Linked DNA regions of Drosophila melanogaster. The protein of the gene in region 2 interacts with the protein of the main gene of each other region in a pairwise test. Each region holds a gene or a part of one and is shown on either strand. Other genes may lie near its edges.

Region 1 (3,926 bases), about 10 Mb from region 2:
CCGAATTTGTTTACAACAATCCCAAAGTCCGTTCGTCAGCCGGCATTTCAAAGAATGCCGCCCACACAGCCAAAAACGAGAGGAGAGAAAAAGCGGTATGATATACACAAAAAAATAAAATGTATAATACATTCATAGAACTTGTTTATCACATAATACCAAAGACAACGAGAAACAATATTAAAATACAAAATGTTTGTATATCTAAAAGATTTCTCAACTCAAATTAAATTTGGTACACTATCCAGAATCACATCTTAACAATTTCTTAACATATTTTTCACAGTGCATTTAATAGGTCAAGCGCAAGTGAATTTGTGCGTGTATCAATTACCTTTCCGCTAATCAATAAAGTTTCAAGTTCACACACCAGACACAACCATTTACCTTGATGCGAGTGCGAAATTAATGAACACTCAAGAGGCACCGATCATTAGATACTCTTAGTTATTTTAGAATTGTTGTATTTTATAGTATTTAATAGTTTAACTTTCTATCGAAAAAAATGTATAATGTAGAAAGTTATATAAAAAACTATTATTTGGTTTTTGTGGCAAAATGTAAATTTTAATGTTGCTCTAAAAAATAGCGGAAATGGTAATTTGACTATCGAATGATAACTATGTAGATATCAGTGTACCAATTAGTCTAAGACTGAATAAAAGCTATTATCGTAGTTGGCGTAAAACATTAAATTGCCATGATACCCTATAAAAGGGTATAAGAAGGCAAGAGAGACGCACTCAGTGGGGTTTTGCATTCCATTAAAAAAAAACCCTGGACGAGCCCCCTCTAGGCGAAGAAGAAGAAGAGCGGTCCAAGGGCATGAAGTAATTGCGGAGCGGGGTGCGAGGGGGAGGTAGAGGTTCCGTAGTACTATAATACTTTTGTGGTTACTATTCCCGATCTGGGGCCTTTGCAGCCGACTTATGATAGGTTGTGGCAGATGATCCACATCCGTCAGCAGAAAAAAATAACTAGTTGTGCTGCCCCAGACAATGCGGCCGCGCGCTTTCTTTGCGGTTTGCTGTTGCTATTGCCATTGCTTTTGATTGATGATTCATTGGGCGGCGGGGAGAAAAGCACACGCGGCACTCGGTCAATTGCGTCATCAATGCGGCAAGTTAATTTTACAAAAAACCACATGTGACGTCGCCGACGTCGCTTGTTTTGCATTGCGAAATTTCACTTTTCATTTGGGGCGGCCGGCGCAAGCGCTTTTCCGCCGACGAGACGCCCACCTGCACTTTTCCAATTATATAAGAACAGTCCTTGAAATTAAATGGGGAAAAACGTTGGAAAATACCAATCAAATGCCTGCTAAATGCACTTTTTAGAAAGGGGAACACGCGGCAGTGTCTCATTGATCGCTGAAACGATGATGGTAATTCCTGGAATTCCACATGATGCAAAAGCGGACCTCGAATGTGGGACAAGTGAAAAGCACGCGAAATGCGAGTTTTCCGCTGAATCCAGTACTAAGTCTAAATGGACCATAGCCCCGCAGACTTTTTGCAAATTAACGCACATGATTTGATTATTTTTACACTAAACTTGCTTAAAGTTTAAATATTTACGTTTTTACAGCCGAAAACTTTTGCGTTAGTGGTGGGACTGTTAATGCTAGCGCACGGCCTGGACTCTCAAACATATCGAAACGCTATCGTTTTGTGCCAGATATCGATTATTTTTACAGTTTTGGTGAGCGGTAACACTAGCATACAGAGCTTATTCCTATGCGACTGCAGATGGCGCCACTGTGGAAGATCATGAAAGGCGCGATGTAAAAAGTCTGTAAGTAATATGTAAAGAATTCAAAATTTTTCCGTAATCTACTTAAACCATTTGATACCTTTAATTTAATAATATAGGTTCAAGATATTATTATTATTATTATTATTTTATTATTATTATTTTTTTGTAACCACGATTGGGTTGACTTCTGCTTGACACTTTTCCATTTTGAATATCCGTGAAATCATATCAAGTTATTTAAGAAACATTGAAACGAAATTTTCAAAAGAAAAGCGAGAAACATATGTTTAGTAATTTCCAACAATGTTTGAAGCCACCTACATTGTTTTTCTCAGGAATAGTCGCAATAGTCGCGGCCTGACACAAAAACTGGAATTCAACTTGCACTAAACCATTTAATTGCTACGCACACTAGACAGAGACTAATATCTGCTGTATTGATCCAGACAGTAGCCGGTAATTTGGTCCGATATACAGTCAAAGACATTGTAAAATCCCAAATAAGAAGACTTTACTCGTTGAGTTTTTGTAAGAAAACTGATTTTATTTGGAAATATCTTCGGTTTAAATAGGTGACATGAGAATCGCATCTTAAAGTAAATGGCCTACGCAGAGGCCTACGTAAATAGTCCCCGCCTTATCGAGGTCCCACGCTCGGGCACATCTGCCTATCTTGAGCGGCGAGGACCTTATCTGTGGTCTCCCACTAAGGGACTATTTTAGGAGGCGGGGAACGATCTCAAGTGACTGACTCATGTAGTGTGCACTTAAATTACATGTTTTTGAGCAATGCACCCATGTCGCCTTAGATAACAAAATCCTAAATATAATTTATCGCTCTCGATTCATTTACATAAGATATGAACGGAGCCCAAAATTGTAAGTCTTTAAATATATTCGTGTTCATGTGTGAACATTCTGCCAAAGGGCCAGCAAAGCTGAGATGTACATTAGTATATTAGTTGCATTTATAACAGTAGTGGACTGTATTTATTTGATATATGTTCATTTATTTTGCAACTAAGATTTCAATGGGCCTAGTTTTTCTGGCTTTTAATTTTATTGGATTACAATTATGGTTTATATTATTTTTAATTCAACAATTTGTACTTAATTAACTTATTTTAAACATTTTGCTTTTTCTATGTAGAAGTACATTTTCTATTAGTGGACTGTATATTTTTATTTGTTATATTATTTTATTGTTTATTTACTATTGATATTTATAGTACTGGCAACGGACCTGCAAAGGTTATTGCTTGCATTCTTTGTTGCACAGCACATTTCCGTATGAAATATATTATTAATACTATCATTAGTATTAAAGCAATAATTAATCCAGCATGTCCGGAAATATGATGGAAATGTAAATCTTTCAATTTTTGATGGTTCTCTTTCATAAATTTAATTTCATTATTCAATCGTTCAAATTCCTCAGTATGATTTAATATTGATAGTTTCAGCGGATCCCAAATAATCTTCGGCACTCCACTAACTTCTCCTATATAAGGTGTTGATAATAATTCTTCACTTTCGGACTGAATGTTATGGTGGGCAACTAGAATTTTATCGTCGGTTCTTGCCGTACAATATGGCGCAATGCTTAAAACTCCTTGCTGAGGCAAATCAAACAATTCAATTTGAGAGCCAGTACATTGCAGACGGACTTTTGAATTCGCAGGAACCTTAAACAACCAACTACTTTTCTTTTCTAACTCTACCCAGTAACTTTTAGAGTCGACTACTGTTTTATAGATGCAGTTCGCCGCTTTATCTGGCTTTAGAGGCTGAATCTCACATGCATTATCATTCGCTGAATTCCAGGGCCAACTTCCTTTGCATATTCTCTTATTTAGTTGCCATTTCTGACATTGATTTAATGTGGCTTCCGTCATTATGTGATAGGAATCTATCTCAAAATTATAAATTAAATATTCGGACGTTGTATGCACCATTATTATCCGATCTTCATTTCGAATTGGCACCGGAATAAGCCTGAACAATTTGGATGGATGCCTGCTAAACAGAGGCACTTTTGCACTAATGATCAATTTATCGTCGATGAATAAACCCCTGGCTGTTAACAGTGTATACACCTCCTTAAGTTCCGTACCTGACCGTTTTCCTGGAATTACTAGGTTCTCTGAAAGACTCTGCTGAATTTTGGCAAT
Region 2 (3,748 bases):
AATCGTAGCTCTGCTGTACTTCATAAGGTAAATAAACATGGCTCAAGCAAGGGATTCTTAATTATCAAGTTCAAGCTAGTTTAATTCAATTTGGTAGCCATGCGCACCAGTTACAAGAAAAACAGACCTTTCGACTTCAAGCTAATTGATCTGGTGGAACCCAATCCTGTGCTCTATAAGAGATCTGGACTCTCGAACTACGATGCCATGAAGGCGAAAACCGATATCTGGGCTCGCATAGCCGAGATGATGGGCTGTGATGGTAAGTCAGCTAATAAAAGAATAAGATATATATATTTAAAGTTATAATCCTCTTAGTGGACTTCTGCCTGATGCGCTGGAACAATCTGCACTATCAGTTTCGCAAGGAGTTTCGCCGCGCGGACACCAGTGGATCCACCTGGCCGTACCTGGAACGCCTGCGATTTTTGGCCGAGATCCAGCCGCCCTCCAAAGTGAAAACCAAACCCAAAACAAACAAACAGGAGGCGACCATCCAGACGGAAACTCCTGTGCAATTTTTGTGGGACACTTTTGAGGATGGGGATGTTCCACAGCAGTCGAGTACGTTCATAATCGAGGAGGTCATCGAGGAGCCCAGTGAACAGATCATCCAAGAGGAAATCATCTACGAGGAACAAGAGCCCGCTGAAATAATCTCGCCCAGAAGCAGCTTTCTCCAGATGGACCAAATACTGGCCCAACTAAAGGAACCGCAGCGGAGAAGGGCAGAACGAAGGATTACAGCATTTCTGCTCAAGTGCCAGCTGCGTGCCTTGAGTAATCAGTCCGTGGAGGACCTTAGCATCTAGTTTCCAGTTCACATACTCTCAAACTTTATTTTTAAAAAACAGAATATAACTAAGATTAAACCTTGCACTTGTCCAATTCCAACCATGCCACTTTCGGCTTGACAATGAACTGATCGCGCGGCAAACTGTCCAGCATGCTGGCCTGCTGGCGGACGTACTTCACCAGTCGCTCGATCTGCGCGTAATCATCACAGTTCATCTCGAAGAAGCGGCGCCACAAGGCGCAGGCCAAAACCCGATCGTCGGACATGATGCCCTCGTCGTAGGCGATTAGGGCCGCTTGGAACTGCTCGGATAAGGTCTCGATTTGCTGACGGGTGCGTGAAGGATTGTGAGCCTGTTGGGAAACACATATGAAGAGCATAAAGATTATATATATAAAGGTGAACTAAAGTAAAACCTACTCCCAATTTCTTGGCGCGTGTGTTAACATCTCCCCACATCGCCTCCACAATGCAGTTGCGCAGGAAGCGTCCATCCTCGCCCGTTTCGGAGCCCTCGGCCATGGAGCGCATCAGGAGTAGCCAAACATGCAGTTCGGTGACCAAGAACCAGGAGTTAAAGGTATTGGGCAGATTGAAGTCGCGGAAAAAGGTCACATAGTTGATCTTGTCGGCGACGCTTTCGTACAGCAGATGACTGGTTACCTTGAGGCGCTGAAATGGGATCACTTCGATGAATATTAATCAAATGGGCAAAGTAATCCGAGTCCTACCGCCTTTGTGTTCGGTGTGAAGCCCACTTTGTTGAGCACTCTCTTCAGAATACCGCCTTCTGCGGCTTCCGCTGTGCCGGGTTTCGTTTTATTGGTATTATCCACAACGCCGGTGGATGAACACAAGCGGCATGGCTGCTCCAGCAGTCCCAGTATCGCTGGCCTGTGCTTATACGTATGTTGTGTTGCCTATAATATGTTTAATTTAAAAATTTTATATCCGTTTATATAAGAGTTGATGGCGGTGCATTCGGATGACCGTGTTTTGACTAAATAAAGTACAACCCCTGCTTTAAACATACCCATGCGGTTCTCGCTAGGCCGCCGGCCAGTCTTGCAACTGCACGAGTGCACTGCATTCTTAAATGTATCCTAAATTTACTAAAACAAAATCGTTTAAAAAATCCAATTGCACGCGACAACAGACTAAAACAGCTGATCGTAACGGGGCTGCCAACTTGGGTATAACGACATGTTAACAGTGACTTGCTAACATATGATTAACAGTAACAGATACAAATCTTTGTAAAGAAAGAAAAATGTTTTTTTTTTTGCATGTGAAAAGTAATAACTATTACTTTATTTTTTATATACTTTAAACCTTTGCAGTCTTAATTCATAAAATCAAGAAGAGCTTACATTCGGAAGTGGTGTGACCGCATGAAGTTATTATCCGTTCATAACAGTGCAAAACGGTCTTACTATCAACTTCCAGTTGGAAATGTAAATAAATAAATAAATAGAAAATTTAGAGCAAAATAAAAGAAAGTATGATACGTTTGGGGAACCAAATGTGCCGGCAAGTGGCCTTTAATATACAGACTGTATTCCGAAACCCGGGCACCGCGAACAATCCGAGATTAATCACCAGAAAGATGACACAACAGCGACCGCCGGTGAATTGGACAACCAGTATTCCCAATCAGGCGGCGAAGGACAAGGAGAAGATAGCTCCTTTGGGATGGTTCCTCCTGGTGGGTAGACACCAACTCCTCTACCTATACACACAACTAATCCTTGTTGTCCATTAACCAATCCCCAGCTCATACCGGCCACCACTTTTGGCTTGGGCTGCTGGCAAGTGAAGCGCAAGATTTGGAAGGAGCAGTTGATCAAGGATCTCAACAAGCAGCTGAGCACGGCGCCTGTGGCTCTACCAGACGAGTAGGTTTGCCCACATATTCTCCACTATATACCCACCCACTATAGTGTATTCCCTCCTGTAGTCTCACTGACTTGGCCCAAATGGAGTACCGCCTGGTCAAGATCCGTGGACGTTTCCTTCACGACAAGGAGATGCGCCTGGGTCCGAGATCGCTGATACGGCCCGATGGCGTGGAAACCCAAGGAGGACTCTTCTCGCAGCGCGACTCGGGCAATGGCTATCTAATAGTAACCCCTTTTCAGCTGGCAGATAGAGAGTAAGTTGTGCTCAAGGAAATCCCATAGAATCATCTTAATATCGTTTCGCCCCCAGCGACATAGTGCTCGTCAATCGGGGCTGGGTGTCCCGCAAGCAAGTGGAGCCGGAAACCAGGCCGCTGGGCCAACAACAGGCGGAAGTGGAGCTCACCGCCGTCGTGCGCAAAGGAGAGGCGCGTCCGCAGTTCACACCCGACCACAAGGGCAATGTCTATCTCTATCGCGACTTGGCGCGCATGTGCGCCGCCACAGGAGCAGCTCCTGTGTTCCTGGACGCCGTCTACGATCCGCAAACGGCTGCACATGCTCCAATCGGTGGACAGACACGCGTTACCCTGCGCAACGATCATCTGTCGTACCTGGTGACCTGGTTCAGTCTATCGGCGGCCACCTCCTTTTTGTGGTACCGCCAAATAGTCAAGAGGATACCCTTCTGAAAAAGGGAACCCAAATCAAACGCACTGTTGTTATTTTTATTATAAAAATTTACATGCTCTCGTGTAAATGCTGGTTTTTATTGGCCCGCCGCAGGAGGGGATTATTGTCCTGCTGGGACTTAATATTGCAACTACCGATCCTCGAGTGGCGGATCGACAGGGGAATAGGAATAGGAATATGAATACAAATACGGTTCGAGGGTTTCCCTTGCGGGTGTGCCTAGTTGAATACTTTAACTATTTAGAAACACACTCGTTAGTTTGGGTCGATATGGGGAAAGCTACATAATATTATATTGTCTGATCAAAAATAGTTACTACGTTTTATAACTTTGTGGTTAATCAATCATTGCCTTATGTTG

Evidence for each region.
Region 1: the proteins of Uqcc1 (region 2) and Ogdh interact in a two-hybrid assay, tested with the Drosophila melanogaster proteins (one large-scale study listed by BioGRID).

The regions. Positions count from the first base shown.
Region 1 is NT_037436.4:16,953,194-16,957,119, reverse strand, and holds the start of Ogdh (oxoglutarate dehydrogenase), read right to left. Parts: upstream 2,299-3,926; 5' UTR 2,241-2,298; coding exon of another isoform or gene 2,178-2,240; 5' UTR 2,077-2,177; intron 1,795-2,076; exon of another isoform or gene 1,793-1,794; 5' UTR 1,578-1,792; exon of another isoform or gene 1,529-1,577; intron 1,357-1,528; exon of another isoform or gene 1,307-1,356; intron 96-1,306; exon of another isoform or gene 1-95.
Region 2 is NT_037436.4:6,956,136-6,959,883, forward strand, and holds Uqcc1 (Ubiquinol-cytochrome c reductase complex assembly factor 1), read right to left. Parts: upstream 1,974-3,748; 5' UTR 1,887-1,973; coding exon 1,830-1,886; intron 1,717-1,829; coding exon 1,528-1,716; intron 1,469-1,527; coding exon 1,217-1,468; exon of another isoform or gene 1,150-1,216; coding exon 868-1,149; 3' UTR 813-867; downstream 1-812. Other genes in the region: CG9948 (uncharacterized protein), read left to right, coding at 100-262, 319-812; Surf1 (surfeit 1), read left to right, coding at 2,298-2,501, 2,570-2,691, 2,754-2,948, 3,005-3,386. UniProt on the Drosophila melanogaster protein: Required for the assembly of the ubiquinol-cytochrome c reductase complex (mitochondrial respiratory chain complex III or cytochrome b-c1 complex). May be involved in cytochrome b translation and/or stability.